Rattus norvegicus: one gene and its partners. The protein of the gene in region 1 interacts with the protein of each later gene in a pairwise test. Links are inferred from orthologs where the notes say so. Each region holds a gene or a part of one and is shown on either strand. Other genes may lie near its edges. The genes, in order: Nif3l1, Natd1, Cdkn2c, Rabac1, Dhps, Dmrtb1 and Trim27.

Region 1 (4,359 bases):
AGCTACACTCGCTGCTATTCTACCTCAGGTTCTACCTGTGCTGCTCACACCTGCAGGGAAGGGCACACTAAACACCTGTTTATTCCTTTTTGTGTTTTTTGATTCTGGATCTATGTAGACATGGATGGCCTGGATTGGAGCTCCTATAGACGAGACTGGGTGCGAGTTGGCTTCCTGAATGCTGGGACAGTAGACCTGTGCCATCACAGCATCGAGATATCATTGTAATGATCATGCCCACGCGTTCACTCTACTCTGTACTCTCTCAGTGGGACATACAGTGTCTCTCAGTCTTCCCGCCCCTCCCCCTCCCCTCTCCTCCCTCACCCTAGGAATGCACTCTGCCACTGAGCTAGCTACATACTCGGTATCCTGTCTGACCGCCTACAAAAAAAAAAAAAATCATAATTTAAAACCAAGCCTGGGCTGCTGAGAGGGTTTAGCAGTTACCAGGATTTGTTGCTTTTGCAGGAGGACCTGTTCAGTTCCCAGCACCCACATCTGCTTGTGTCCAGCTCCAGGGAATCCAAAGGGGATAAAAACAAACAGCCAATCATCCACTCAGAATAATTCTACAATACTCACCATTCTCCTTCTTGATGCTTCTAGGGAGCACTATTTAATTTTTCAAAGCTCCTAAAAGAGAGAGGAATTAGTTCACTTTACCCTATCTTTCTCACCATACTTGTTCATCCTTATAGTAGATTTACAACGAAAAGTGTAGAATAGCATCCTCTAAATAAAAGTCCGACCATAGATGTGTTGAGATCCTACCCACGCAACAAACCACCGCAGCGCTCTACTTACTTTACCCATTTTCTTAAAGTTTTTTTTTTTTTTTTTTTTTTCCTGCAGGGGAGGCACATTCCTACCTCCCGGTCTAGTGCTCTAGATAGGCACCGGAGCTCCCTTTATCCCGGACACCTACTTTACTTAAGACAGTAAGTACAACAAACTTCCATACTTCACAGTTTTTTTACAGATGCCAAGTCTTGCTAACTTCACAATCGTATTTAGAAGTGCTAGAAACACCACCTCCAGCCCACGAGTATCCCAAGAAATAAAGTTGCACTAACGTGAGGCGCAGCAGGCGTTTGAGTGGAGGAATAAAAGGATAAAAGCCGTTACTCCGCACTTACACACCTCGCTCAGCACCGCTGCTGCGGTAACAAAAATGTCTCATTCACAGGTGCCGGCATGCCTGCGGGTTCCAAGAGTGTCAATGCACCACCGGAAGTGAGGCGCGGGGCTCTCCGCAGAGAACGCCCTACTCTCCCGCCAGTCTCTCCTCAGCACACGGACTAGGGCTCCTGGGGAGGGGTGGAATGGGGAGGTGGGGCATGCACCTCACTCCTCGGCCCCCTCTGACCGCGAGAGGGTTCTACGGACAACCTTACAGCGCCCAGATACCTCATACAGTCGTCTGGAGTCGGAAGCAAAGCGCACCGGACCACTTCCGCCCATCTTCTTCCTACATTGCCAGGAGCTTCAGGGCAGAGCGGAAGTGACACACCAAAAGAGTTTCTGCGACTCGTGGGTTGTGGAGGAGAGAAAAGCTCGCGGGGCTGTCTGTTCTTCACGCTGGAGGTGCACATCGGGGCCGGCTGTGGTGACTGTAGGGTGCCGGGGAACATGAACATAGGAACATTGCGGAGGAGAACTGCCTTGCTGCAGGAGGGGCGAGGGTCCTGACTCCAGGAGTAAAGGCTGTGCCACGCGGCCCTTGATTATTCTGGAAAAGGCCTTGAGCCATGCTTAAGTGAAAGTAGGAAGAACCGTACGTGAGTGTAAAGAGAGCGCTCGTGTAATTGAAAAATAGCAAATGGCTGTTCAGAGGGCTAAAGATAATGTAGATTGGCAGTGGATAGTTCTATCTCTGCCATGTACTGCAGCCCCGATTCACTCGCCCTTCCCGGAGTTCTCATTCACACCCACTAGTGCGGTTTTTCTTTCAAGCTAGTGCGTATGCGAGGGTGTGGTATTGGAGTGAAGTCCTCTCCAATCTTAAGTGCTTTCAGAAGGCCCCATATTTCAAATAATGCTTTAAATGTGTCTGTAGTGTGAGCACATTGTGTCAGAAACAGACCGGGACACATTCTTGTCCTCTCACAATAGAAGTTTATTGAATAACAATAAAACTACCAGTTACATTAGTTTTGTTGGTAGCTTGTTACAGGATATTTGATCACTGTGAACCCCTGAGATTGTGTTACTTACTGGGGGGGGGGGGGGGAACCTTTCTCAGTTGTAGGGTGGCTCCGCCCTTAGCACACACCTTTATTCCCAAACAATGAAGGTTAGTTTGTGGAAGGAGGCACCCATGTTTGAAAGTGATGTCTAATTGAGTGACAAACAAAGTGATGAATTAGAGAAAGCGTTGACAGAATAGGATATGCCCAACTCCCGCCAGAACAGAGAGAATAGAGAGGTGACTGAAGAGAGAACAGCACAGAGAGGGAGACGGGGGCAGTTTTACCAGGAGAGTTTTGTAGAGACAGGTCGAAGAGAAAACAAGCTAGACACAGGTAAAGACAGAATGAGTCAGAGAACAAGAAACGGCCAAAAGATTAGAACAGATTGCCAGGATTAGTTTGAGGCCAAGCAGAGCAATTCAGTCAGAGGCTGAGAGAGAAGCCAGATTGAATCAGTCAGCTTGGAGAAGAGTTTCAAGCCAGAACAGCTGAGTTGAACCAGCCAGCCGGAGCTTAGAAAGGGTGAGCTTATTTAGCAGTAATTCCTAGGGGCTGAAACCATTCTAGGCTTAGATAAGATTGTACAGAGGCTAGAAGTTTCCAGGACTGGGCCCAGGGTAGCCGACAGATGGGAGACGACAATTACACCAGGTGAATAAAAGATACTTTTACAATACCTGTTTGAGGCAAACATGTTCCTTTGTTCAAATCTACTATTAACTCTCAGATCACACATCACACTGTAAATATATCTCTCTGGTTTCAATTGTTTTGGTTCTTTGCTGGCACTGCCCTCCCACCATTCAGTTGATGACCATGGAAGATGTGGGTAGGGGCCCTGTGCTTTTCCTCTCTGTTTCTCTGTGTAGCAGTTGTCGTGTGTTCAGGGCAGCAGCTCTGTATGTTCAGAGCGACAGCTCTGGCCTTTTCTTGCTTGGCTCTGTTCATTTGTAGAGTGACCTATCTGCCTCAGTTCTTGCTCGTGTACTCAACATTTTAAATGATGTTTGTGACAGGGTCTTATGTACCCCAGGCTGGCCTTGAACTGACAGCATAGCTGACACTGCCCTTGCACCTCGTCCTCTACTGGATCACAGACAAGTGCCAGTTTCTGTGGTGCTGGGGACTAAACCCTTGTGCATGGTAGGTAAGCACTCAGCCAACTGAGCTGCTACATCTTCAGCCCTTGATATGTCAGTTAGTTCTAATTATGTCTAGTACGTATCTTTGTGTGTGTGTGCGCGTGTGCAGCAGAGATGCAGGGTCTAAGGTTGAAGCTGTGCTGGGGGAGCAGGGGGGTATCAGAGGGGATGAGCATTTATATTTCATCATACTCTGCTAAGTGACATAATAATGCTTTTGAAGGAAATGGAGAGGTCAGGTGACTTGGCCGTGCCCATCGTGCTGCAGGGCGGGCAGAGCAGCTATTTAAATCTGGGTCAGTGGCGAGAGCTGTTTGACTCCCATGCTTTATGCCTCAAAGTGCAGAAGTGAATGGTACATAAATACCATTTCCTTACTGTGATTCCAGGCAACCTTCTACCTGGTTTCCGTATGCTGTCATCTGCACACGTGGTCCCTACAAGTGTGCGACGTGCCCCATCGTGGATCTGCAGCTCTTCCCGTTCCTTCATGGATCTGAAGGCTCTTCTCTCTTCCTTGAATGACTTTGCCTCCCTCTCATTTGCTGAGAGCTGGGACAATGTGGGGTTGCTGGTGGAGCCAAGCCCGCCCCATACTGTAAATACACTCTTCCTGACCAATGACCTGACGGAGGAGGTCATGGAGGAGGCTCTGCAAAAGAAGGCAGATCTCATTCTCTCCTACCATCCACCTATCTTCCGGCCCATGAAGCACATAACTTGGAAGACCTGGAAGGAGCGCCTTGTGATCCGGGCTCTGGAGAACAGAGTCGCCATCTACTCTCCCCACACGGCCTATGACGCCGCACCCCAGGGAGTCAACAGCTGGTTGGCCAAAGGGCTCGGTGAGAAAACTCTTGACCTTTCATGTTTAATGATTTCCTTACAAATACTTTGAAATTTTAGAATGTCTTCCTAATAAAGTTTTAATTGTTTTTAGGGGCAACAGGTTTTTCCATTTTTATGTAATATTAAAAATAATGTGTTGCTTAAATTTGGTAATTAAGTTTCACTTGAAGATGCGC
Region 2 (4,388 bases), on another chromosome or scaffold:
AAGATTCTCTCAATACTATGTCTGGCCCCGAACCAAGCAATAAAAATAATTGGAAGAAGTCAAAGGAACAATCTGTGGGCAAAAAAACCAGGGGAAAGTGTTCATTAAGTGGATATATAAATGGCCTGGCAGGCTGGGAAAAGGTTCAAGAGCCAGTCACTGCCACTAATGACAAAATGCCCATTGCAGCTTACCCAGCCATCTGTAGCAACGTAGGTAAGATTGTAATATGGAAAGGATCTTGTAGTTTTTCACAAAACTAAATATAGACCAGCTATAAAACTCAGCAGTATATTCCTGGGAGCTACCTAAGGGAATGCTGGCCAGAGGACATCCACGTTACTCATAGCAGCCCCGAACCAAAACAACACAACAACCTATTAACACGTGATGGAAAACTAGTACATGCTCACTGGAAAATCTCTGACACAGTGATGAACATGATAGCAGTAACAACATGGCTGATGACAGGTGGAAGCAAAGAAACTAGATACTGAAAGGTAAATATTGTGTAGTTCCATTTGATAGGATGTTCTTAGGAAAAGCTGTTTAGTCAGTAGTGCTAAAAGTCAGGGGGCAGAGCTACATCAACCCACGGAGATCTCCATTTAGCTGTAAAATACTTCCTGGTTGGTCTGTCCCGCGCCTCACACACCCCCCCCCCAGCCATCGCCCTCCTCTGTCTCTTACACACACACACACACACACACACACACACACACACACACACACACATTTTGTACAGGTTTCAATTTACAACCTTCAAGCATTCCATTTGAGGTGTACTCAAACTTTCTGTATGTTTATCTGTGGTCTCTTAGATACGGACATCAAATGTGCACCTTAATTAACAGAATGTGATTCTGTGAACATTCTCGGTGGGCAGGCTTTCCAAATACTATGCTTCCAGGGAAACACTGATTCCTGGGTAGCTAGCTCCCTAGGGACCTCACATTTCTGCCTTTCTTTAGGAGGGGTGGCTTTTCACCCAGTCCTAAATATGCCTCGGGGTAATCTCTCAAAATCAGCTACAGGTGCCCGGAGTGGATGGGCTGCATAGCGCCAGCCCGCACGGTTCCAGCTGAGAGTAGATATACCTTGCGTAAAAGAGGTCTGACATATCTATGCCTCAGGCTTGCAGTGAGGCCAATGCCTAAAATTCGATGGCTGTCCCGGGGAAGTTCAGAATTGCCCCACAGGTCATTGCGTGCTTTTCAGATGGGTCCGTGTGGGTCCTAATGATCATTCTGGAGCATTCAGGAAGACAATCGGTGCCCTTGATGGGCCAGCACATCATTGTTGAAGCCGCGAGCGAAACGCGCAGCGCGGTCTCTTTAAGAGACTCCAGGAATGTATCCAAACAGACCGTGCGCGCGTGCACGTGACTCACAGCTGATTTCCGGCCCCGCCCCCTTCTCCGGCCCGCGCCGCCGAAGAGTCAGTTCGCTGCGGCCCGCGGTCCCCAGTCTTGGTGCGCGCGATGGCGCACGCTACCCCGCCGAGCGCGCTGGAACAGGGAGGCCCCATCCGCGTGGAGCACGACCGCCAACGCCGCCAGTTCTCCGTGCGCCTCAACGGTACCGCGCTGCCTTTGTTTGCGCGCGCGCGCGGGCGGGACGGGGCGGGACCTGCGGGCGGACGGATCCCCGGGCGGGAGGGCTCCCGAACCCCGACTGGCACCGCCGGAGCGCGCCGGTCCGGGCAGCCCGCACCTGCTAGCGTAGCCGGCCTTCGGCATCGCGGATGGAGGGCTGCCACCCTGGATCTCAGAGAGCCGGTCGCTGGTGGCCTGCCACTCCACTAACCCCCGGGTGTTCGGTTGCTTCCTGCCGCCCTGGGGGAGCCTGCGCGGGCCTAGGGCATAACCCAGGGAATGTGTGACCTGGAGGAGGAGGCGGGTAGTGAGTGATTCTGAGACTTTGGCCAACTTGTCTAGTCTGTGTGTGCCTCGGTCTCCCAGAATCTGCAGTGCGGATAGCTGTAGTGCACACCGCTTTGGCTGCAGTGGCAGTAAAGGTTCAGAATGACACATTTGGTGCACAGCAAGTGCTGATAAACATAGATAAATGGTTACTTTTCAAACCAGATAGAGAGGTCAAGGCCTCATCTTCTGTAGCATTTGTACCAGCAGACCGACACTCCTCCCATTTCCCTAAGGTCTGGAAAAGATTGTGGAATATGGGACCTTGAACTCTCTGTAGCCCACTCCTCCCAGCTGGACCCTCTGGGGACATCTGAGACCGGACTTAGCCACTGCGCTTATTTTGATTGGATGGATGCACTTGTGTGAGGTCAGCCAGTAGGTTGTAAGTAGTCAAGTGTAGCACCCTATCCTGACTTCCTGAGCCAACCTGCACTTGGTCACAAGCAGAGGAGGCCTAGTCTCCCATTTGTGCCACCTAACCTTTGTGGCGGCAGCTGTTACTTCCTGTGTTGTGACATACCGCCCCATTTATAGATGAGTAAACTGAGGCTGAGGCTGCAGGAAGTGTGACCTGTTCAGCCTTAACAAGACCAGAGTCATATTCAAATCTGGGCCCAGCCGCCCCATGCCATACTCTTTCCATAGAGAAACAAGACCTGTTGTCATGCTGATGGTAGCTCAGCTGACAGTGACACTTGGCCCTGATCACTTGAGAGGCCTTATCTGAGGTTTTTTTTTTCAGATCCTCTTTTCTGAAGTTTTTCTTAGTTCCAGGGAGGCTCTGCTTCTCTAGGTGACTGTGGAGGCACCTCAGATCCACAGAGAGAAAGGCCAAACCCTTGGGCTAGTTCGTTTGTTCGTTCTTTCCCTTCCAAATGGGTCCAGTCAAAAGGACAGTACTCTGAGAGCTGGCTGCGAACAGACCATATTCTTAAAAGTTAACCGTTCTGCAACCTGCTGCCCCATTGATGGGGACACAGAGTGACTAGAGGCGGGCAACCACTCCTCAGCTCCTCAGCACAGCCTGGGCTAGTAATTTACTGAGTACCTACCATTTACCAGCAGTCTTCAGATGCCCAGGACTTGTGGGGCTGGCAGTCTAAAGAGGGAGATGGGTCTCAAATGAATTGCGTAACATCTCACAAAACAAAGGCCCTTGGAGAAGTGAAGCTGGGCGGAAGGAAAGGGTATATTGGGGCAGAGCTGCTGTTTGGCATCAAGTTCCAAGCAGGTGGTATTTAAGTAAAGACCTGAAAGAGACAAGAAACAGCTGTAGCGGTGAAGAAAGGCAGCAAGTGAGAGGAGTAGTTGAGAGCAAAGGCCCTGCAGTACCCACTGTGTGTTTGAGGGCACCCAGGAGTGGTGCAGGCATAAAGGAGCGTGACAGGTAGGATAAGGCTAAGAGATCAAGGGGACGAATAATATAGGACCTGGACATGTGAACTGGGGTGTGGCTTTGACCTGTGGGTTCCTAAAAATGCCTTGGAAAGAGGACAGATGCCATGGACCAGGAGCCCTAAGGCTGTGTCGAGGGGGAGCATACTGTGGTACGTGATAGAGTGGGGAGCTTCGTACTGTACAAGTCGAAGCAGTGTGAGCAGGGTTGGGAAGAAATGTCTAAGTCCTGAGCAGCTGTGACAGGGAGCATGGAGGGAGTTTGTTGTTGTGGAGGAGACTGGAACCCAAGTTACATGGCTCCAGTTTGACGTTCTGAAAATGCTGGGCGTGTAGCCACTGTTCCGTGCTTGGGAGACCAAGGCACAAGGCTGATGGACAACTAGTCCAGAATGGATCCTTGATTGCCTTCTGAGAGTTGTCATCTGAAGGCTGAAAGGTTGGGCCCTTGCATGGCCTTTTCTTACTTCCCTCAGCCACTCAGGGTTTGTGTGTATGTGTTTAAAGATTTGTTTTTGTTTTTAAATTATTTATTTTATGTATGTGAGCACACTGTCACTGTCTTCAGACACACCAGAAGAGGGCATCAGATCCCATTACAGATGGTTGTGAGCCACCCTGTGGTTGCTGGGAATTGAACTCAGGACCTCTGGAAAAACAGTCAGTGTTCTTAACCAATGAGCTATCTCTCCAGCCCCTAAAGATTTGTGTTTTGTGTGTGTGTGTGTGTGTGTGTGTGTGTGTGTGTGTGTGTGTGTGTGTGTGTGTAAAAGTCAAATAAGAGCATCAGATCAGGCAGCTGGCGTTAGAAGCAGGTGTGAGCTGTCAGACATGAGTGTTAGGAACTGAAGTGGGGTCCTCTGTAAAAGCAAAAAGCCCTCTCAACTGTTGAACCAGCTCTCCAGGCTCTGGGACCACTACTTGTTGCAAGAAGGCTCACTCCAATCCCTCCCAGAATCCTCTGTGCCCCCAATATGCTTGTGTAGGTCTGGGGCACTCCGTCTAGCCTAGATTGCCACTAATCTAGGTGGCAGTGACTACTCACCCGTGGCACAGGGGTTGAGGGTCA
Region 3 (2,806 bases), on another chromosome or scaffold:
GGATTAGTATTTGATTCTAATAAATATTGAGTATCCAGTAAGTAGCCCACTTACTATATTATTATATAACTTAGAGTCTTATGAGTGTACCCAATTACAAATGAAAACCAGCTCAAATGCTTGGATTTTCTGGCATGTTAATGAAAATAATTTTTACAAGTTAATTAAATATATTTTTGCTCTCAAGTGCTGTTATACAAAGTATTTTTACTTATGAGAGTTTTTTTACTTAAAGATAGCTTTTAAAGTGTACATTTAAACAGCAGTAAATAATTCCGTGTAATATAAAATATTTTGAGCCTTGATAGCAAGTGTTGATAGTCTATTCTGACTTTCAAAACAGTGGTAGTTTACAAATAGCTATTCTCATATGTAGTGAGTGCAAACGGAAATTAGACAGGCTCACCAGTTGATTATTAAATGACTCAAACCACAAGACAAAGCTGACTGTTCCAACACACACATCACATATCTTGCTTTTACTTTTTGTTCACTTGAGTACCAGAAAGCTAGTTAGAACTTTGAGTAGTCCTATTAATATAGTAGGATGGCCATTTGATTCTTTTCAGGGATGGTAGCCATGCAATCATTTCCTCCCTGATGTGAGGCACATCACCAACTTAGTTCAAAATAAGTCGATATAGTAAGTAATGTAGAACACAGTGGCTTAATTTAATACCTAAATGGCCGAGTAATATTCTGTAATTTGAAATGAAGCCTAAGCATGGAATGCTCCCAGTAGCCAATATTTTAGCCTGTAAAGAAAACATACTAATGCTTGGACAGTTCAAGCATATCTATTTGGAGGAGCCTTGTTAAAACTAATCATTTAAGAAAATGCCAACTCTGGGATTTTAAAGGATCCATTCTATAGGAAGTGACACTTATGGGGGAAGTTTAAAGATTCCCATCATTGGTTTTCAGTAGCTATTAGGAAATAAATTTTATCCTCATTTAATCTTCCAGAATTAATACTCCAGGTATAGTTTATGAGCATGAATAAACAAACAGGAGGCCTTTTACCCAAATTACATTCCTTTATAAAAAAAAGAAAAAGAATTCATGGGGGAAAAATACACACACACAGGTCTTTGTGAAAGATAACCAAATTAGCCATCAAATTTCTTCGTGTTTCAAGAATTCTGTTTTATTGACCAATTTATTCTACTACATCTGGGCTGATTTAGGCTAGTTCATCAATTTTTGTAGGTTTTCTTCTATGTTTATTGACTGGTAATTTCCTACTGCCACAACCTCCAAACTGTATTCTATGGGTCTTCTTCAAGAATTGAATCAAAAATAGTTACCTAAATAGGACAAATAAATGTCTTTAAATATTGCTGTGGCTCAAGCCTGGAGGGATTCTCCCATCTTTAACTTCTTTCCTAGGTTATGAAACTTGGGAATCCGGAGATTGCCAGGAGACTTCTCCTCAGAGGTGCTAATCCCAATTTGAAAGACCGAACTGGTTTTGCTGTCATTCACGATGCTGCCAGAGCAGGTTTCCTGGACACTGTACAGGCTTTGCTGGAGTTCCAAGCTGATGTTAACATCGAAGATAATGAAGGGAACCTGCCCTTGCACTTGGCTGCCAAAGAAGGCCACCTCCCTGTGGTGGAGTTCCTAATGAAGCACACAGCCTGCAATGTGGGGCATCGGAACCATAAGGGGGACACCGCCTTCGACTTGGCCAGGTTCTATGGAAGAAATGAGGTCATCAGCCTGATGGAGGCGAATGGGGTTGGGGGAGCCACGAGCCTGCAGTGAGTGTGGTGGTCTTTTCCACCCACCGCCTTCTCTTTGTCCCTTAGTTGGCTGGCTGTCCTGTTTTACTATCACTTATTAAAATATAGGGTTTCGTTTTGCTTTGTTTTCATATTTTAAGCAGCTAGTCAAATCCTTCAAAACTGCCTAAGTGGAAATCTTACTACAAGTTTATGAAATATTTAAACATCTTTTTCACTGTCAAAATTCTGATTTCTAACATGTAATTGCATATGGCTATCTGTGCCTTTCTTCTGGATATTTTATCTTTGATTTTTTTTTTCTTTCCTTGCTTACCCTTTGCCATTCTCAATGTCTGACTTGGAGACTTTGTTTTAAAAATTATTTGTCCTGATGCATCTTTTGCCTAATTAAAACACATTTTTTCATAAGAGGACCACATTTTCCTGTGATTTTTACCTGTGATTACAGCCCACCCCTTTGTAAGAAGTGTGTTAGAGTTCATGATAGCATAAGTCTTAGCATTAGAAAGGAACACACTGGAAGCCTGGTGCCAGTGTGACTGCAGTGGAGCCAGTCCTCTTATCTCCTTCCCCTGCCCCCTCAAAGAATCCATTGGCTGGCTCTGCTCATATTAGTATTTTGGCTTCAAAAAAGAATATGCCCAGCAATTTCGAAGATCAGGCTTGAAATTATTTCAGTATGAATTCCTTGTAATGTCCAACCAACCCCCTTTTCTCAAATTTGAGTCAACTGGCTGAAAGGTAGTTTTTGGAAGAGCATCAGCTCTAAAAAGCACCACTGACGTGGTGCTTCCCTTAGGTTAGGTGACTTTTTAAAACCATAAAATGAGGGGCTGGGATTTAGCTCAGTGGTAGAGTGCTTGCCTAGGAAGCGCAAGGCCCTGGGTTCGGTCCCCAGCTCCGAAAAAAAGAACCAAAAAAAACCCATAAAATGAAACAATTACTTAATGTGTTTCAAGCCAGTGCAACACCGGCCTTCCCCCCCGAAAATGTCAAAAATGCAATACTATAAAATGTTTAAGTATTAAAAATATAAATATTGGTATTCGTGGTAGGAG
Region 4 (4,428 bases), on another chromosome or scaffold:
ATTACCACCACCCACCACCCCATCACATCTCTACCTGAGGGTCCTGGCTTCCACTGTCCCAAAGGACTCCTTTCCCAATTGCCCCAGACACCAAACGTAAAATCCCCTGTATTCAAGGCTCCTGCATTCTCCCAATTAGCTTGCCACTTTCTGCAACATACCTCTGCCTTCTCCGGAAACCCTGCCTCCCACATGGCTGCTCTCCATCTTTGCTGTGTTTGAGGAGCAGAGACTTGAGAGTTATGAAATAGAAAGACTTTTGCGTAGTCCTCAAAAAGAAACTGAAATGATTTCCACAACTGTCAAACCCAGCTGACCTTTGCCACCAAATGGTTCCCAAGGCTGGCCTTGTGGTGTCCCTCATTAGTCTTTAGGCTAACTGTACACTATATGGTCGTCCACTGACCTTCTGAAGCAATGCTGGACCTCAAGTGGGAAACCCAAACACAATTTCCTGCTGAGTGGCCCAGACTGGAACCCCAACTGCTCATGATTGCCCTGTAACACCAGTTCCAGGAGATCTAAAACCTGTTCTGGTGGCGCACACACATAAACATATAAAAGTAAATCTTTTCTTTTAAAATAAAAACACTTATTTTGATATTTAGTATATGAGTACACTGTAGCTGTCTTCAGACACACCAGAAGAGGGCATTGGATCCCATTACAGATGGTTGTGAGCCACCATGTGGTTGCTGGGATTTGAACTCAGGACCTCTGGAAGAGCAGTCAGTGCTTTTAACCACTGAGCCATCTCTCCAGCCCCCGAAACACTTATTTTTAAATAATGTGTATCTGAGTGTGGACATGTACACATGAGTATATCTGATCCGCTAGAGCTGGGGTTACAGGCAGTTGTGAACCACTGGGTGTGGGTGCTGGGAACCAAGCTATGATCCTTTGAAAGAGAAACAAGTAAGCTCTCTCCAGCCCCACTTCCAAAGTAAGTACTTTTCCTTTTTTTTTTTTAAGATTTTTTTTAAAGATTTTTTATTTATTGTATATGAGTACACTGTAGCTTGCTTCAGGCACACCAGAAGAGGGCATCAGATCTCATTACAGATGGCTGTGAGCCACCATGTGGTTGCTGGCATTTGAATTCAGGAAGAGCAATCGGTGCTCTTAACCACTGAGCCATCCCTCCAGCCCCAGTACTTTTCTTTTAAGGAAAGAAAAGGTAAATGAACTCTTTCCCAGGCTTGCCCAAACAGAATCAGCTTTCTGGAGTCAGAACGACAGCTCTGCATGGTCCACGGAAGCATGTAGATCGCCTGTTTTCGCCTGTTTTTGCTATTCCAACTCCTATCAAATCCTCTGTCCTGACAGCCCACCTGCTGTATTCCACTCTGCGCCTCTTGAAACTACAATTCCCACAATGCCTAGTGGCTCCCGAGCTCTTAGCATACATCTCCCAAGATGTCTTGCGAGGCAAACCTGCCTCTTGACGCCACGAGGACTACAACACCCACAATGCTCCGAGGCACAACTACCGCCCCCTAGAGCTCCCAGCGGCGCCACTTCCATTGAGTCCGGCTCGGGTGGGGCCGCCTAGGTGCTGCTGGGCTCGGGGATATTTACAGCGGTTCTATTCACTGCAGCGCAGACATGGCGGCCCAGAAGGACCAGCAGAAGGATGCCGAAGTGGAAGGGCTGAGCGCCACGTGAGCAAGCAGGGTGTTACCCCCAGATCCGAGACGCAGAAGTCCCTGCCCCCGCAAGCATAGATCTCTCCCCTTCAGAGACATCTCAGCCCCTCACCCCCTGGGAGGGACTCAGTTGTGTTACCTTCCTCCTAGGACCCTTCCCCCCCCCAGGGTTCAAGGTCAACCTTGGGACCATGTATGCTAGAATCTGGGGTCCGGTACCCTATTCCTGCCTTCATCTTCTCTGCCCCGTCCTTTAGGACCCTGCTACCCAAGCTGATTCCCTCTGGCGCAGGTCGAGAGTGGCTGGAGCGGCGCCGTGCTACCATCCGGCCCTGGGGCACCTTCGTGGACCAGCAACGTTTCTCGCGACCCCGCAACGTAGGCGAGCTTTGCCAGCGCCTGGTTCGCAACGTGGAGTATTATCAAAGCAACTACGTGTTTGTGTTTCTGGGCCTCATCCTGTACTGCGTGTGAGTGCCTCCGCGGCCCCGCCCTCGATAGTCCGGCCCCGCCCCCGGCTGCCAGGCCCCGCCCAGACCAGTTAGCACCTTTGTCACCACAAGACCTGGTCAGTCTGTACTCTTGCATCCACTTGACCAGGGTGCAGTGTGACCTTCGCTGACCTAGAAGGACGTAACTTCTGTTTGTCCAAAGCTACAGGGACCTGGCTGATGCAGCCTCGGATACCTAACTCCTGTCTCCCACACTCTTCCAGGGTGACATCCCCCATGCTGCTGGTGGCTCTGGCTGTCTTCTTTGGCGCCTGTTACATTCTCTATCTGCGCACGTTGCAGTCTAAGCTTGTGCTCTTTGGTGAGAAATCCCCTGCCCAAATGGCTTCCCAAGCCTTTCTGATCGTGGTCTCACGGAATGCAAACCTCCGAATATTTGGGACTCAAGTCGGCCCCTACCGAGATGCACACTAGAGTCATTTAACCTGGTCCTTAAGGGCTTAGACCTACCAGGTGCTCCCCTCCAGTCTCAGCTTCTCAAACCCAGAGAGACCCCAAAGCCCCTGGCACCTCTGTCTCAGGTAAATGACTTAATCCAGTTCCTCCCAAACCCCGACGTAAAACATCAGCTGCAGATACCCATACTGGACACCAGATGGCGACCTTATGCAGGCTTAGATCCGTGTTCCTTCCCAAACCTTCGGATTCTCAGAGGGGAAAGGCCCCACTGGGAAGAAAGGTGTCAAGGAAGACTCTCTGAGGAGAAATCCAAGGGTTTCCAAGGAGACTTAAAACAAGTCTTTCGGGGGTTGGGGATTTAGCTCAGTGGTAGAGCGCTTGCCTAGGAAGCGCAAGGCCCTGGGTTCAGTCCCCAGCTCCGAAAAAAAAGAACCAAAAAAAAAAAAAAAAAACCAAGTCTTTCGTGACCCAGCAAGTTTAAGTACCAGACAAAGATGGGCTGTGGCAAAGGAATACTGGAACTTGGCTTCTGCAGATAGTGGTCACTAGGGTGCACACGTTTCTCAGGCATAGGAGAGCCTGGCCAGGGGGTGGGGGGGTGGGAGGGGAAGCATATATATTCTATATATATTGAGAGCAGGGAATGCGTCTCGTTCCAATTATGTCGTCTCCCAGGAACTCACTAGGCTGGCCTCCAATTCACAGATTCCCCCCACCTCTGTGTCCAGAGTACTAGGGTTGAAGAAGAGGGCCAGCATGTCCTAGCCTTAAAAAATGTGTGGGCTGGGGATTTAGCTCAGTGGTAGAGCACTTGCCTAGCAAGCACAAGGCCCTGGGTTCGGTCCCCAGCTCCGAAAAAAAGAAAAAAAAATGTGTAATGCAGGAGCCCCTCTGGAAGACAAGTGCTTTTAACTGCTGGGTCACCTTCTCCAACCCTCACAAACCAAATTCTTGTGAAGCTCATCAGAGAACACATCCCCAAAACAGAAGCTGGCCTGTGCCTGGAATTCCAGCACTTGTGAAGCTGAAGCAGGAGAATTGCTCCAAGTTCAAAATAAGCCTGGGCTTCAGAATCTTTAAAAAAAAATAATAATCAGACTAAGTGTCTAGAGAGATGGCCCAGTGGTTAGAATTGAATACTGTTCTTGCAAAGGATGTGGGTTTGGTTCCTAGCGCCCAAGTCAGGTGGGTGCACCATAGCCACCTCCTCGGGCACCTGAACTCTCGTGTACATATGCCCACGCAGGGCATATACACATAGTTCAAAATAATAAATCTTTAAAAAGTAAAAAAAAAAAAAAAAAAAAAAAAAAGGACAAAAATGCTCAGGTCAGATTTGGCTCGGAGCCACCTGGTAACCAGACTGGAACATCAGGCCCTAGACTGAGGTGGCCTGGGGCTCCTGGGGAAGGTGGAGCAGGGGCGGAGCTGAGGAAGGTCGTTATGGGGACAGGTCACTTTGGGGAGGTGGGGTAGGGCCAGGGGTGGGAGGCCCTGATGTGAGGAGTCTGTATTATTACATGGAAGGTTCCAGAGTCACACTAGATGGGTGCAAAGTGGCTCTGGTTACCTCTGGGAACGGCTGGCTGTCTTACACCATCTGTCCCCAGGCCGTGAGGTGAGCCCAGCACATCAGTACGCCCTGGCTGGTGGTGTCTCTTTCCCTTTCTTCTGGCTGGCCGGTGCTGGCTCCGCTGTCTTCTGGGTCCTGGGTGAGTACAGGGTCTGTGTAGGGAGAGGCTGGGAGCCAGGTGAGCGAGCCTGTCCTGAACCACCTGTCCTCCTACTTCCTACAGGAGCCACCCTGGTACTTATAGGCTCTCACGCTGCCTTCCACCAGATAGAGCCTGCAGATGGTGAGGAACTGCAGA
Region 5 (4,204 bases), on another chromosome or scaffold:
GTGCAGTGTGGCTACCTTCACGGAACCTGTTCCCTACAGCAGTAGGTGTCATCAGACTCTCACTTGGGATTCAAGTCCTTTTGCCCTCCTGCATACTACCCATTGCAGATCTCCCTGCAGCCAGATGTGGCATTTGGGCACTGCTAGCCTATAGAGGAGGTTAAACGAAGGGGAGACCTTTATCTGTGCATCTTTGGGGAAATAGTGTCTCTGATATTTTTATAACAGGAATTTTCTGGGTCTTCTGGCCTCAGTCAAAACATCATGTGTTTGGCAGTTTTCTCCAGTCACCTTTTCCCTCAGCTCTGGTTACCAATTCCTCCAACCCACCTTCACACTTAACAGAGTGTGTGTGTTTTCTAGGCCAGAGGACAACCTCAGATGTCACTCTCATTCACCTGGTCCCTAAACCTGTGTGTATGAGCTTGTGCACGCATGGCATGCTTGTGGAGGTCAGACAATAATGTAAACAGGTCCAGACTCTTCTATCATGGGCCTTTGGCTACTGAGCCATTCTTCAGGTCCCATCCCCAAGGATCTACTGGTCTCTGCTTACCCAGAGCTATTACTGGTATTGCCAACCCCCTACCCCTCTTGAGTTCTGGCAATTAAACACACATATTCAATCCACACTCTTGCTTTTTTGCAAAGCAAGGACTGTACAGACAGCTATTTCCCTAGCCATGCCCGTCCCTTTTGTTGAGAAAGGGTCTTGCTTTCAATAGTTCAGGCTGGCCTGGAACTCGAGATTCTTTTGCCTCCACCTCCTGATTGCTGGTTTAGCCACCTAATGGTTTCCTGTTCATCAGACTATAGTCATCAGGAGGGCAGAGTCCATTGCTAAATCGCAGCGCCCAGCAGAGAGCACTATTTCTAGTGTAGATTACACAAACTGTAGAATGAGGGTGCCCCTGTCCTAGGTTCAGTGTATCATTAAAGGGGACGCATGAGAAAAGATTCTCAACAAACTTCTTTCGGCAAAAAGATGGTGGTCATCCCTGTCTCCCCAGAGGCCTATGATCCAGTGAAAATTGAACTATGGTTGTAGGGGGAAAAGAAGTTTGTAGCGACTCGAGGAAGCACCGAAAGAAAACACTCCCATTTGACAAAAGTCTGCAACTAACTTGTCCAAGGGCTCCGTCCTAGAAACAATCACCTCGCTCATGGGGGGACAAGAATATTTGGACAGACAGTTTGCAAATCAGGCACTTTTATCTACTTGAAGCTGAATCTGCCTACAAGGAATAACAAACAGCTCCTGGACCACATGTACGGAACACGGGAATAAAATGGCTGCTACCAGGCCCGCAGGCGCTGCCAGGGCCATGTGACTCAAGTAGCTTCCGGTACCCCTCCCCCGCCCCCGAGTCGCATTTCCTGGGCTCCGGCGGACCAAGCTGAAGGATTTGGCGGGTTCCAGGGCACCGAGACTGCTGTGACCAGAGAACGGCCGAGAGCGCATGGAGGGGACCCCGTCGGGGGCGGCGCCCTCCTCGGCGCTGGCCGCTGTGCTCAAGCACAGCTCAGCGTTGCCGCCCGAGAGCGCCCAGGTCCAAGGTTACGACTTCAACCGCGGGGTAGATTACCACGCGCTTCTGGAAGCCTACGGCACCACCGGCTTCCAGGCCACCAACTTCGGGCGCGCGGTGCAGCAAGTCAACGCCATGGTGAGGCGCCGGGCGACCCGGGTGGGAGGCGGGGCCGCTCCGTCCGCGTGAGTGCCGGGGAGAGGCGGAGTCCTGGTTAACTAGTGTTCCGCGATGGGAGGAGCTTGGGGTTAAAATCAAAACGGGCTTGTAGGAGGAGCTTAACGCTGGGAGAGCCCTGGATTCGCTTTTCCCACTGGAAGGAGTCCTGAAGAGAAGACACTGTGTTGTTCTTAAAAGGGAACAAACCCCAAGTGACAGACCAGGACCTGGAATGGGAGGGTTAGGGTCTGCACAGGGGTTGTGCTTTGGTTTTGTAGTAGTCTCCCTGAGTGCAATCAACGTCTGGAATCCAATTCATGTGGGGTTCCTCCACTGAGGTTTGGAGTTTTAGTGCAACTTTACTGTGCCCCTATGCCCAGATTGAGAAGAAGCTGGAACCACTGGCAGTAGATGAAGATCATCACGAAGACCTGACTCAGAGCCGCCGCCCACTCACAGGCTGCACCATTTTCTTGGGCTATACGTCCAACCTCATCAGTTCTGGCATCCGGGAGACCATTCGCTACCTCGTGCAGCACAATATGGTGGGTCCACGTTAGATCAGTGGCCCCAGCCTCTCTGGGCCAGTAGACAAAAGGGTTATTGTTCATTTAAGAAACATGAAGAGGCTCAGAGATTAAGAGTATTTGCTGTTCTGTGAAAGATTTGGGTTTGGTTTCCAGCAACCACCTGGTGACTCACAACCATCTGTAATGGGGTCTTCTGTGTGTCTGAAGAGAGGGAGAGTGTATTCACATACATAAAATAAATCTTAAAGGGTGTGAGGAAATGGAGTATTGCTTTTAGACATACTGGCAGTTTCTTCCTTCCTTCCTTCCTTCCTTCCTTCCTTCCTTCCTTCCTTCCTTCCTTTGTATATGAGCACACTGTTACTGTCTTCATGTACACCAGAAGAGAGCATCAGATCCCATTACAGATGGTTGTGAGCCACCATGTGGTTGCTGGGAATTGAACTCAGGACCTCTGGAAGAGCAGTCAGTGCTCTTAACTGCTGAGCCATCTCTCTAGACCCATACTGGCAGTTCTTAGACTTCAGCCTCCTTTCTGAGTGCTGGGATCACAAGAGTGTGCCACGTTTTCTGGGTCTGCTTTAGGCTTGAGTTGGTTTTGTCATAGAGCTCATGCTTTGGGTCTGGATGAGCTCAGGCCAATGTTAGGGGCACTACTTTGAAGAAGGGTCTGTGTTGTTGCTGGTGACCACAGGTGGATGTACTGGTGACCACTGCTGGAGGGGTGGAAGAAGATCTCATCAAGTGCCTGGCACCCACATATCTGGGCGAGTTCAGCCTCAGGGGGAAGGAGCTCCGGGAGAATGGGATCAACAGGTGAGGCTCTGAGTAGTGGTAGGAGCAGGGAAGCCGCGTTGAGGGTCCCAGTGTCTGATGCCCTCATGGATCCCATTTCTAGGATCGGGAACCTGCTGGTGCCAAATGACAATTATTGCAAGTTTGAGGACTGGCTCATGCCCATCCTAGACCAGATGGTGCAGGAGCAGAATACAGAGGTAGGGCTGGAAGGGCTCAGGTGGACCTGCATAGTTGAGTCAGAAGACATGGGCTAATACTGATATTCTCCCCCTTGTTAGGGTGTGAAGTGGACACCTTCCAAGATGATCTCCCGGCTTGGGAAGGAGATCAACAACCCAGAGTCTGTGTATTATTGGGCCCATAAGGTGGGTTGGGTGGGGACAGTATTCTTGGGGACAGTACTTAGGCTTTGACTTGCAATGACTTGTTTGACTTAGTAGCCACCTAAAAGTCTCAGTAATCATTCTTGGTCTTCCCAGAGTTAGACGAGGAATGTCGAACAGAGAGGCTAGGCGTCACTTGACTGCAGGGTTCTCCTAGCTATGCCCCTACACTCCTGGGACTCGGTGTAGTGCTTTAGAAGTCGGTGGGGCCTGACCCAGGGTACCATGTGCCCAGGGACAGTGCAGCTCAAGAGTCTGGACAATAAGACACTGCTCAGTGTGCCAGTACCTTCTTCAAGCCATGTGTGGTTTTTCCTCACGTCTGCATCCACATGCAAAGCAGAGGGTCATGTGCACCAGAGAAATCAAGCAGCCTACTCAGGTCGGGAGGGATGCCACTGGGTTGGGCATCAGTTTTGCTGGGGTATGAGGTGTAGCTGCTAACTGGTCCTATCTCCACCAGAACCACATACCTGTGCTGAGTCCTGCACTCACAGACGGCTCACTGGGTGACATGATCTTTTTCCATTCCTATAAAAACCCAGGCTTGGTCCTGGACATCGTTGAAGGTGAGGTGCTAAGGCCCTGGGAGAAGGGTGAGAAAAGCCCACCGAGTCCAAGGCCTGACCTCTGCCCTCTCTCCCAGACCTGCGGCTCATCAACATGCAGGCCATTTTCGCCAAGCGCACTGGGATGATCATCCTGGGTGGAGGCGTGGTCAAGCACCACATCGCCAATGCTAACCTCATGGTGAGTGGAGTGGCTCTTGGCAGCCATCCCCACCCTCTGCTCTGAGAGATGGTGG
Region 6 (4,282 bases), on another chromosome or scaffold:
AGAGAGAGAGAGAGAGAGAACAAAAGCCAGGATAGAGGCACATGTCCTTAACCCAGATGTGTGTGTGTGTGTGTGTGTGTGTGTGTGTGTGTGTGTGTGTGTGTGTGTGTGTATTTAAATGACAGGTTGTGTGTGGGTTATTAGATTTTTTTTAAAATGGAAATTGTGTTTGCTTATGTGTGTATGTGCACGTCTGCATGTGCGTGCATGCGTGTGTGCGTGCGTGCGTAGTGTGTGTATGTGTGTGTGTGTGTGTGTGTGTGTAATTTTTTTTTCTTTTGGGTAGGACTACTCAGCAAAGTTGGGTGTTCCCTTCCTCTAAGAGTAAACAGACTTGAACTCATGGTTTGTCACAAAACAAGCAAATCGCGGCTCCTTGTAATATCAGTAGATTCTGGGTATGAACACCGTCCTGGAACAAGCTCCCCCAAGCTAGATCTGTACACGCTGGGCTGCGTGCCCCACACTGGATGAGCAGATATCTCGGGAAGGTTCTTGAAAATGTTTTACTTCTATGGCTCCCGTTCCTGAGAGAAGTACGCACCCTCCATCAGTGTTGTATTACAGTGGCTAAGGAATTCTTGTAAGTTTTGTTTGGCTTCCTAAAGATGATTAAAAGACTATGTGAAACAATAAACACGCTCGCACGCACGCGTGCACGCACGCATGCGTACACACACAGACACACACACCCCAAACCCAAATATTCAAAATAGTTCCGGAATATCATGTTTCTTTTACTTTATAACATTATTAAGCATGAAATTTTCAGACCAGAGTGCTGACACAAACAGAACTCAAAAACTCAGGGTTTCTGCAATGCCTGTAAGTAACCAACACGGCACTAAGCTCCTAAGAATATTCTGGAAGCATGACTGCTTTTTTTCTCTACAGAGGAGAGAAATGAAAGCAGAAGCAGCTGCTTCAGGGAGGAGAAACATTGTGTTCTCTGGAACTTTCCAATAGTATGGGTTTACTAACAGCTCTGATCCTCAGGAGTTTTAAACCTCTGGACCGTTGAGTACACGTCCGCCATTTTTCAAAAAAACAAAACAAAACAAAAACCTATTTTCCAATTACAATTTGGTAGGAACAGAAAGCTTGAAAATTCAAGTGCCAAAAACTTTCAAATAACTCATATGACATACATGCAATAAGTATTCTATTTTGAGTTTACTCCGCACCCCATGGCCCAACACACAGAAACACTGTAAATTTAGCACACACACCTGGAAAGTGGGAAAAATGCAAGAGCCCTGTTGCAGTTCTCGGGACACTCAGTGAGCTGTTTTGTTACAAGTGTATCCAATGTCCCTTGCACCAGGGATTTATGGGGGCACAGCTCATTCCTGCTTCACTCGCTCTGCAGCTTCGGGAAGTGGTGGTTGTGTTTGGAAGCAGAGCTTGCAGAGCTGAACGGCAAGATGCTTCGTACCCCCAAGTGCTCAAGGTGCCGGAACCACGGCTATCTGGTACCAGTCAAGGGCCATGCGGGTAAATGCCGCTGGAAGCATTGCATCTGTGATAAGTGCTACCTGATCACCGAGCGCCAGAAGATCATGGCTGCCCAGAAGGTGCTCAAGAACCAAGCTACGGAGGAGCAGGGGGCGACCGTGGGCACGCAGGGTCCCCAGCTGCCTCCTAGGGCTCCGGCTCCGGCAGCCGCGACGGCCACTGCCTCGAGCTCCAGCATTTGCCCACTGCCTAGGGCGGCTCTGGGAGGTGCTGGGCCAGGCCCCGCGGCCACCTGCTTCCTAGAGAGGTCCCCGCAGGCCCGGAGCCCAGGCCCGAGCGCCTTCCAACTGGTCCCAAGTGGCCGTCCAGGCCCCAGCACCTTCCAGCCTGGATCGGGGGGCTCCGGGGGACTGCACGACCGTCCTCCCGCGTGGCTGCCCCAGCTCAGGCCACAGGCACCCAGGCCTGAGCTTTGCTGCCCGGATCAGCACCTGCCAGTGCGGCCCGTGCCCCGACTGCCGTTCGCCGACTACGGTAAGCCCAGCCTCGTGCAGCCGACGGTTCCTCTGGCCTGCATCAGGCCTGCAGCCTCCCGGCTCTAAGCTGGAGTCCCAGACTGGTGCTGGGGTGGGAAAGGCGCCTTTCCCAGGTAACCCCCGCTTTGAGAACACGTTCCCAGACAAGGATTTGGGTGGGCGGCTTCTGACTGCAATGGGAAAAGGCTGGTGGGAAAGAGTGAGCGGTGCAGGGGGGTTTATGTTGAGATGCAATTTTCTGCCTTTGTACTTTTGCAAAGAAAAAAAGATGGCAGCTGGGCAGCTTTGGCAGTGGCGCCTTTTTGTGGACCCTCTAGCACGCCTCGCACGGCTTCCCTTCCCCTCCCCCTCCCATGTCTAGCGGTCTTGCGCCTGCGTGACAACCCTCCTCCCACTCCCTGCCTGCCATTTTCTCTTACTAGAGAGTCTTTTAGAACTTGCTTTCTGGGTGGCTGTTCGCCTGAGACTGTGCCTGCGCACCCTTCTCTCATTTAGCGGAGTCTAGTTTATCTTAACTGCAGTGTATGGCCTAACGCACCTGTACTCACTTTTTCTGTTTTACCGGATGTGGTTGGGAATAAAACTTTCAGCTACTTGGCCAGATGTTACGGTTTTTCTCACTCCTCGCTTTGTGCATAAATAATATTGTTTCTTTATGCCGTGTTGCGTACCTGATTAAAGTACGATTTCTTGTGGAATTTAAAAAAAAAAGTATTTATATTTTATAATTTATTTATTGTAATGTATTAGTGTTTTGCCTACACGCATATCTGTGTGAGGGTGTCTTATCTCCTGGAACTAGAATTACAGATTCGTGTGAGCTGCCATGTGGGTGCTAGGAATTGCGCCTGGGTCCTCTGGAAGAGCACCCAGCGCTCTTAACCGCTGAGCCACCTCTCTAGCCCGTGAAGTATGCCGTTTTCAAGTAGTGTAAATTTTGAGGCTCTTGGAAAGCGTCTCTTTGGGATGAAGATGTGGTTTTTTGTTTGTTTGTTTGTTTGTTTGTTTGTTTTAGTTTTTTTTTAAACTCTCCTTCCTTTGGACATGTTTCTTCCTTGAGGGGCAGACTTTCAGAAATTAATGCTAATCATTCCTAATGTTTCTGGGATTTTGTAAAAAAAAATCTTTTCCCCAAGGAACTATCTGTCTGATGAGGAAGGCAGACCTAAACCTGTAATCCTGTGAGAGCACATCTGTATTCCATCTCTCAACAAATAGAATTTTAAAATGTGCTGAACTCGGGTGTTCATAAGGAGGTGGGGAGAAGGAGTCACTTGTGGCTAATCCCCGCATGTGTGAAAGAGAGGTCAGAGGGCAACTTTGAGAAACTGGTTCTTTCCCTGGGATGGAGCTCGGGCTGTCAGGCTGGTGGCAGGTGCCTTTACCTGCCCAGCCATCTTGCTGGCCCTGATGGTGCTGTTCTCGATTGTCCTATGGGTTGGTGAGAAACCCCCCAGAAAGCACAACTCTGGATGCATTTTGGTAGGTGTTTTCCAGAGAGAGTTTATTTACTTAAGTAGGAGAGGTGGGTCCTGAATGTGGGTGCCACCATTTCAGCCTAGGGTTTTGGATAGGATGAAAGGTGAGAAAGAGAAAGCTTGTTAGCAGATCGTTCTCTTGGCGCTTCCTGGTGAAAATGAACTGTTCTGCTTCACCATAGCTAGCACCAGGATGTTCTGCCTCACCAAGACTCACAGGCGATGGGGCTAAGAGCCCTGAACTGTGAGCCAAAAACGAGTCATCCCCTCTTTAAACTGCCAGGGTATTTGTCCCAGTGTCAAGTAACTGACTAACACACCTTCCTTGCCCTCTGGGATCCTGTCCTTGTGGGGAGAAATAATGTTCTTCAAAGCATCAGTGAGAGAGGGTTCTTTTTTTTTCTTTCTTTCTTTTTTTTTCGGAGCTGAGGACCGAACCCAGGGCCTTGCTCTTGCTAGGCAAGCGCTCTACCACTGAGCTAAATCCCCAACCCCAAGAGAGGTTTCTTAATCGATGAGCCAGCTGCCATCTGGTCTGGAGAGGTCCTTAGGTGGCTGAAAGAGCAAAACAGCATGGCTGAGTGAGTGTTCAAGGACAGCGGGGCTAGAAATGAAGAGGGGAGATGGTGTCTCTGTGACCACAGTGGAAACTGCCTGGGCTGTGCCGTTCACACCGGCACTGCCAGGAACTGAAATTGAAGCAGAGTCCAGTGGTGGGCGAGAACCTCCACAAGGCGGCTTAGATGTCCTTTCCTGTCAGACCAGCCCCATGGAACAGTGTGACTGCTGCCGAAGCCAAGGGCTCACATTGTC
Region 7 (4,341 bases), on another chromosome or scaffold:
TTGCACAGGTCTTGTAGAATGCCATGTAAGCATAAACTAGACAGGCTGTCTAGGCTGAGCAAATGGCACAGGCAATAAAGTGGGGAGAAAAGGCATTGTTCTACATGACTGGAGCCCATGAACATCTTGCCTGGCAGGCGGAGTCATGAAACAATCACAGTGAAATGGCAGGGTTAGGTGTGCACTCTGTGGACATGACCTGGTATGATCGAGCAAGCACAAGTTTCCTGGATGTGTTTACTTGGTCTCAGTAAGTAATCCATGCCCTGATTTTTTAGGGGGTGCTTATGGGTTCCTCTCCATACAATGTTTCTATTGGTTTGTCTATCTTTCCTACATTTCTAATTCCTCCATGCCTGCATTCCTAGCACTTGGAAGGCAGACAAGGCAAGACTGGAACTTCAGGATCACTCTTAACTATATAATGAACTTAAGATCAACTGGGGCTACCTAAGACATCCTAAAAAACCTAGAGTTCTAAGATTATAAACCAAGTGTGGCAGTGCATACTATAATTCCAGCACTTGGGGAGACTAAGGCAGGAATATGGAGAGTTCAAGACCATCCTGGATTGCATAGTGAAACTATTTCTGAATAAACAAATGGTCAGCAAAATGGCTCTAGAGCAGTCAAGAAAGATTTTACTTGAATCCAGCCAAACCCACTCATTTATGTATTAGACATGGCTGTTTTTGAGATGCAATGACTGAGGTGTTGTGATTTAGCTTGTGTAAATTAACAAAGCTAAAAATACTTATTACTGGCCCCTTTCAGAAAGTTTGCTAAAATCTGACTTGAATTCAACTGTTCCAAGGGCCCCTTATACCTCTTTTAACCTGGATAAGTCTTTCAAAGGTATAAAGTATACAATATAACCTTAGACAAAATTAAGGCTAAAGATCAATTTACTGAGTATATCCAAAGCAGTGTGACTGACACACTGGCACAAGTATTTCTCTCTGGAAAATCCTCCCAAAGCTGATATGATACATTGTATGTTTAAGTTTAGTCTACACAAGATCACTGAGAAGTTTCTTCATCCTGTTTTCAAGCAAGAGGTGTCAAGATCGCACTCACTCAGAGACAGGATGGAGCTAAATGATAGGAATGACAGACACCAAGGGGAAATGCTCTGCTTAGAAGTTTTCATTACACCCTTGCCAAGGCTATCCTGATGCAATGCCTCTCTGCAGGCTGGAGACCTGGACCCTTACCAGGAGCTCAGCTCGTGCCTGCTCCCCCTGTGCCCTCCGTCTCTTCTTCAAGTCTTTCACTCTTCTTAGGTGGTCCAGCCGATTCTGGATTTGCTCCTGAAGAAAGTAAACAGTCAGCCAATTCAGAATTTTGCAGATCTCAGCATCAAAATAGCTACTCTGCTTATGACACAGGAACCCAAACTACAGATGCCAAGGCCGGGCTGGACTCTGTCCTCAGACCACAGTGCCATTCCTGGGAAGAGCCTAAAGCACAGGGTCCAGCACAGCTGTTTTAGAAATTTGTTAAACTCAAGCCACCTACCAGTTCCTAGAAGCATTCTGCACAGGTTATGAGACATCTGGGTAAAGAGGCTCAAAAGGTAAGCTATTCCTCAGACGAATACAGAAAAAAATGATTTATTTTCCTCATGCACAGAACTGGTAAGCATTACTAAATTACAACTTTATTTCCAGTGAGTGAAATGATACAGCTTTGTAAACGTGACTGACATTTGGATGAACTCACATTTAAACAAATCTAACTGTTGGTACATATCCCTGCAGTCCTCAAAACAGACTCATTATCACTTGAGAGTTACTTTATATGTAACATTTTCGAATTACTGTGTAGCTGTGCCAGTGTTTATTCAACAAAGGCCTCTTCAGGTCCTGTGAGTTCACTTCCTCTTCATTAAGTTATCTCCCGAGTCTGAGAGTGGCTAAATGATTTACTCAAGCAGTAAAGAGCTCTGTTCATTTCCATTAGGTTCTAAAACAGGTTACAGGGAAGCGCTGGGGGCTTAGATTAAGTGATAGGCATCGGTCGATGTGAATTCGGCCAGCCAACAGGGGCTGTCTGGTTTGATATCCTGGGCCAGAGCAAGTTCGAGGTGTTCAAGGCCTATGGAAGTGGACATGGCTCCATGTGCATCTCCTTTGTCAAGGGAGGGTCTCCTCGCGCCGTCCCAGCCGCGGCACGCGTTGAGGCAGTTAACAGGGGGCGCTCGGAGAAGGGGTGGGGGTGGGGACGCCTCTGGCCTCGCCAGCTACAGGTTCTCCTTCCGAGTCTGAGCGCGGAGGCTCCGCAGCCGACAGGGAGGAAATGACGGCGGTGGGCCCCACGTCCGGCTCGCCATTTTCTCGGCGGCAAACCAGGAAGCCCCCGGCTCTCCTCTTTGTCCGCCGGCCCGGCCCTACCTTGAAGCCTTCCACAGCCTCCTCCAGCGGCAGCACGCTGTGGCCACGGTGCTCGCGCGAGCGGTCGCACACCACGCAGATGGGCATCTGGTCCTGCTCGCAGTACAGCTTCAGAGGCTCGCGGTGCTTCTCGCACACGCCCATCTCGCCGTCCGGCCCCGACGGCCGCTCGGTGCGCAGTTGCTTCACCAGCTGGGTCACGTTGGCCAGGTGCCGGTTGGGCCGCATGTGGCGCTGCGGGAAGGTCTCCCGGCACTGCGGGCACGACACGTTAGTCTCCGCGGCACCCCAGCAGCGGGCCAGGCACGCGCAACAGATGTTGTGGCCGCAGTCGAGCATCATGGGTTCCACAAAGTATTGAAGACACACGGGGCAGGTGGTCTCCTGCTGCAGGGACTCGGCCACGCTCCCTGAGGCCATGGCGCGAGCCGGCTGGGCCGCAGGGCATGAGCCCGGAGCCGAGCTCTGGCAGAGCCCGGCGCTCTCTCTCGGCTTCTCAGATCCGGAGCGGGGTGGGGCCTCCGGCGCGGGGATCCTAGACGCGTGCGGAGCTCTGGGGCGGCCAGACCCGTCCCCGCACAGCTGCACCTCACGGACAGCGCGGGAAGGCCTGGGCCCCAGGGCCCGGCTGAGAGCCGAGCAGAGGGGTGTCGGGAACCCGGCGCTGCAGGATGGCTCACCGGGCAACGTGGCCGCGTCGGAAGGGATCCCAGGGCCGCGCAGACTCCTAAGGGCCGAGCGGAAGAGGTGGGCCGGGGGCGGGGCCTGGCTTCCCGCGCCGCTCTCCTCCGGGGCGGGAAGGCGGGTTTCCTCGGCGCAGTCCTGGAGCCCCGGTACCCAGCCCGGGAGTCGGTGGTGGTTGCCCTTTGCAGTGGGAGCAGGGTGTCCCTGGCAGTGGGGTCGGGATACTCTAAGCTTTGGTGGATCCGTAGTCCTTTGCCGGGTGTCTTCTTAGTGCCTAGGCCTTGGCTCCTTTAAATGCAAGGTGGCTTTGCATAAGTGCCGGAAAACTGGGCTGAGAGACCAGCTAAGCCCCTCCCAGTGTGTGAAGCACTCTGAAACACACCCAACTCCAGGCGATAATAATCGCCAGAAAAAGGTTTTATTATCAGCAACTTTTCTCAGTGGCAGAAATGGAGAAGCCCACTTCTACTTCCACCCTAAAGTAAGTTTGTTTATCGTTCCGAGCCTCATTTTCTTCTCGCGTGAAATGGGGGATTGATAGAATCCAGACCAGAGTGCTCACCAGACCCTGATACCTACTGAAGTCCTTCCCCTTCTCTCTAGCCTTCCGGCTACTAGGGAGCTGCCTCACCGAGAGCCCGCTTGTGAGTCCCTAACTTCTTAACAGGCTCCTCTGGTGCCCAGTTTCTCACTTCCTCAAGTGAAGTAGCCAGACCAGACATATCAAAGAGCTACTTGATGACACACTTCTTCCCTACCACCTGCTGAGGAAGGAGCCTGGCCGCGGGTTCCTATGAGACCCTAGAAGAAACGACCCTGATTCTGCCACGTGGGCTTCATTCTCGAACACTCCCCAGCCCCCACCTCCCCCTGGCGCCTGTGGCGCGGCCAGAAATTCTGATTGTCCACCGCCTATCTGCCTATGGCGCTAATAAAGTTCTTACTCCCAGCAGTCTGTTTCAGTGTCTTCCTTGAGCCCCCATACACTGTTGCTTTCAGGAATTTTCCCCATCCGTGAGTTAAACTTTTTAAAACACAGCTTGAGCCATAAAGATTTTTATCCATTAGTTTAAATGAAGTGTCCAGTGCATTGAACGGCATTGAGTAGAACCTAAAACTTGCTTGTTTCTGCCCAATTGAGAATTCTGCGACGACCCGAGGAGGTCTTGTAGGCTAGCTTCTTATCACAGAATAGATTTGCAGTTCTGTGCCCTGTCACTTCTGCCGTGGCCTTTCCTACTCTCCTTTGGGATTGACTCAGTGT

What was found.
Region 2: the proteins of Nif3l1 (region 1) and Natd1 interact in binary tests that used the Homo sapiens proteins (3 or more experiments, as listed by UniProt). The two-hybrid records come from large-scale screens. The link is inferred for Rattus norvegicus from reciprocal best matches to the Homo sapiens genes NIF3L1 and NATD1.
Region 3: the proteins of Nif3l1 (region 1) and Cdkn2c interact in binary tests that used the Homo sapiens proteins (3 or more experiments, as listed by UniProt). The two-hybrid records come from large-scale screens. The link is inferred for Rattus norvegicus from reciprocal best matches to the Homo sapiens genes NIF3L1 and CDKN2C.
Region 4: the proteins of Nif3l1 (region 1) and Rabac1 interact in binary tests that used the Homo sapiens proteins (3 or more experiments, as listed by UniProt). The two-hybrid records come from large-scale screens. The link is inferred for Rattus norvegicus from reciprocal best matches to the Homo sapiens genes NIF3L1 and RABAC1.
Region 5: the proteins of Nif3l1 (region 1) and Dhps interact in binary tests that used the Homo sapiens proteins (3 or more experiments, as listed by UniProt). The two-hybrid records come from large-scale screens. The link is inferred for Rattus norvegicus from reciprocal best matches to the Homo sapiens genes NIF3L1 and DHPS.
Region 6: the proteins of Nif3l1 (region 1) and Dmrtb1 interact in a two-hybrid assay, tested with the Homo sapiens proteins (2 studies listed by BioGRID and IntAct). The two-hybrid records come from large-scale screens. The link is inferred for Rattus norvegicus from reciprocal best matches to the Homo sapiens genes NIF3L1 and DMRTB1.
Region 7: the proteins of Nif3l1 (region 1) and Trim27 interact in binary tests that used the Homo sapiens proteins (3 or more experiments, as listed by UniProt). The two-hybrid records come from large-scale screens. The link is inferred for Rattus norvegicus from reciprocal best matches to the Homo sapiens genes NIF3L1 and TRIM27.

Annotation. Positions count from the first base shown.
Region 1 is NC_086027.1:67,472,839-67,477,197, forward strand, and holds the start of Nif3l1 (NIF3-like protein 1), read left to right. Parts: upstream 1-1,533; 5' UTR 1,534-1,587; exon of another isoform or gene 1,588-2,843; intron 2,844-3,208; 5' UTR 3,209-3,332; coding exon of another isoform or gene 3,333-3,339; intron 3,340-3,723; coding exon of another isoform or gene 3,724-3,746; coding exon 3,747-4,179; intron 4,180-4,359. Other genes in the region: Ppil3 (peptidyl-prolyl cis-trans isomerase-like 3), read right to left, coding at 586-588. UniProt on the Homo sapiens protein: May function as a transcriptional corepressor through its interaction with COPS2, negatively regulating the expression of genes involved in neuronal differentiation.
Region 2 is NC_086028.1:46,086,896-46,091,283, reverse strand, and holds the start of Natd1 (protein NATD1), read left to right. Parts: upstream 1-1,454; 5' UTR 1,455-1,480; coding exon 1,481-1,577; exon of another isoform or gene 1,578-3,174; intron 3,175-3,252; exon of another isoform or gene 3,253-3,401; coding exon of another isoform or gene 3,402-3,471; intron 3,472-4,364; exon of another isoform or gene 4,365-4,388.
Region 3 is NC_086023.1:129,639,091-129,641,896, reverse strand, and holds the end of Cdkn2c (cyclin-dependent kinase 4 inhibitor C), read left to right. Parts: intron 1-1,389; coding exon 1,390-1,767; 3' UTR 1,768-2,161; downstream 2,162-2,806. UniProt on the Homo sapiens protein: Interacts strongly with CDK6, weakly with CDK4. Inhibits cell growth and proliferation with a correlated dependence on endogenous retinoblastoma protein RB.
Region 4 is NC_086019.1:89,692,090-89,696,517, reverse strand, and holds the start of Rabac1 (prenylated Rab acceptor protein 1), read left to right. Parts: upstream 1-1,500; 5' UTR 1,501-1,605; coding exon 1,606-1,661; intron 1,662-1,903; coding exon 1,904-2,116; intron 2,117-2,361; coding exon 2,362-2,459; intron 2,460-4,167; coding exon 4,168-4,269; intron 4,270-4,353; coding exon 4,354-4,428. UniProt on the Homo sapiens protein: General Rab protein regulator required for vesicle formation from the Golgi complex. May control vesicle docking and fusion by mediating the action of Rab GTPases to the SNARE complexes.
Region 5 is NC_086037.1:39,988,601-39,992,804, reverse strand, and holds the start of Dhps (deoxyhypusine synthase), read left to right. Parts: upstream 1-1,386; 5' UTR 1,387-1,460; coding exon 1,461-1,667; intron 1,668-2,068; coding exon 2,069-2,233; intron 2,234-2,912; coding exon 2,913-3,034; intron 3,035-3,116; coding exon 3,117-3,213; intron 3,214-3,294; coding exon 3,295-3,381; intron 3,382-3,862; coding exon 3,863-3,968; intron 3,969-4,045; coding exon 4,046-4,149; intron 4,150-4,204. UniProt on the Homo sapiens protein: Catalyzes the NAD-dependent oxidative cleavage of spermidine and the subsequent transfer of the butylamine moiety of spermidine to the epsilon-amino group of a critical lysine residue of the eIF-5A precursor protein to form the intermediate deoxyhypusine residue.
Region 6 is NC_086023.1:127,678,326-127,682,607, reverse strand, and holds the start of Dmrtb1 (doublesex- and mab-3-related transcription factor B1), read left to right. Parts: upstream 1-1,356; 5' UTR 1,357-1,424; coding exon 1,425-1,989; intron 1,990-2,011; exon of another isoform or gene 2,012-2,104; intron 2,105-4,282.
Region 7 is NC_086035.1:48,243,245-48,247,585, forward strand, and holds the start of Trim27 (zinc finger protein RFP), read right to left. Parts: upstream 2,814-4,341; coding exon 2,394-2,813; intron 1,862-2,393; exon of another isoform or gene 1,723-1,861; intron 1,657-1,722; exon of another isoform or gene 1,519-1,656; intron 1,311-1,518; coding exon 1,215-1,310; intron 1-1,214. Other genes in the region: uncharacterized protein LOC134482717, read left to right, coding at 2,812-3,140, 3,745-3,781. UniProt on the Homo sapiens protein: E3 ubiquitin-protein ligase that mediates ubiquitination of various substrates and thereby plays a role in diffent processes including proliferation, innate immunity, apoptosis, immune response or autophagy.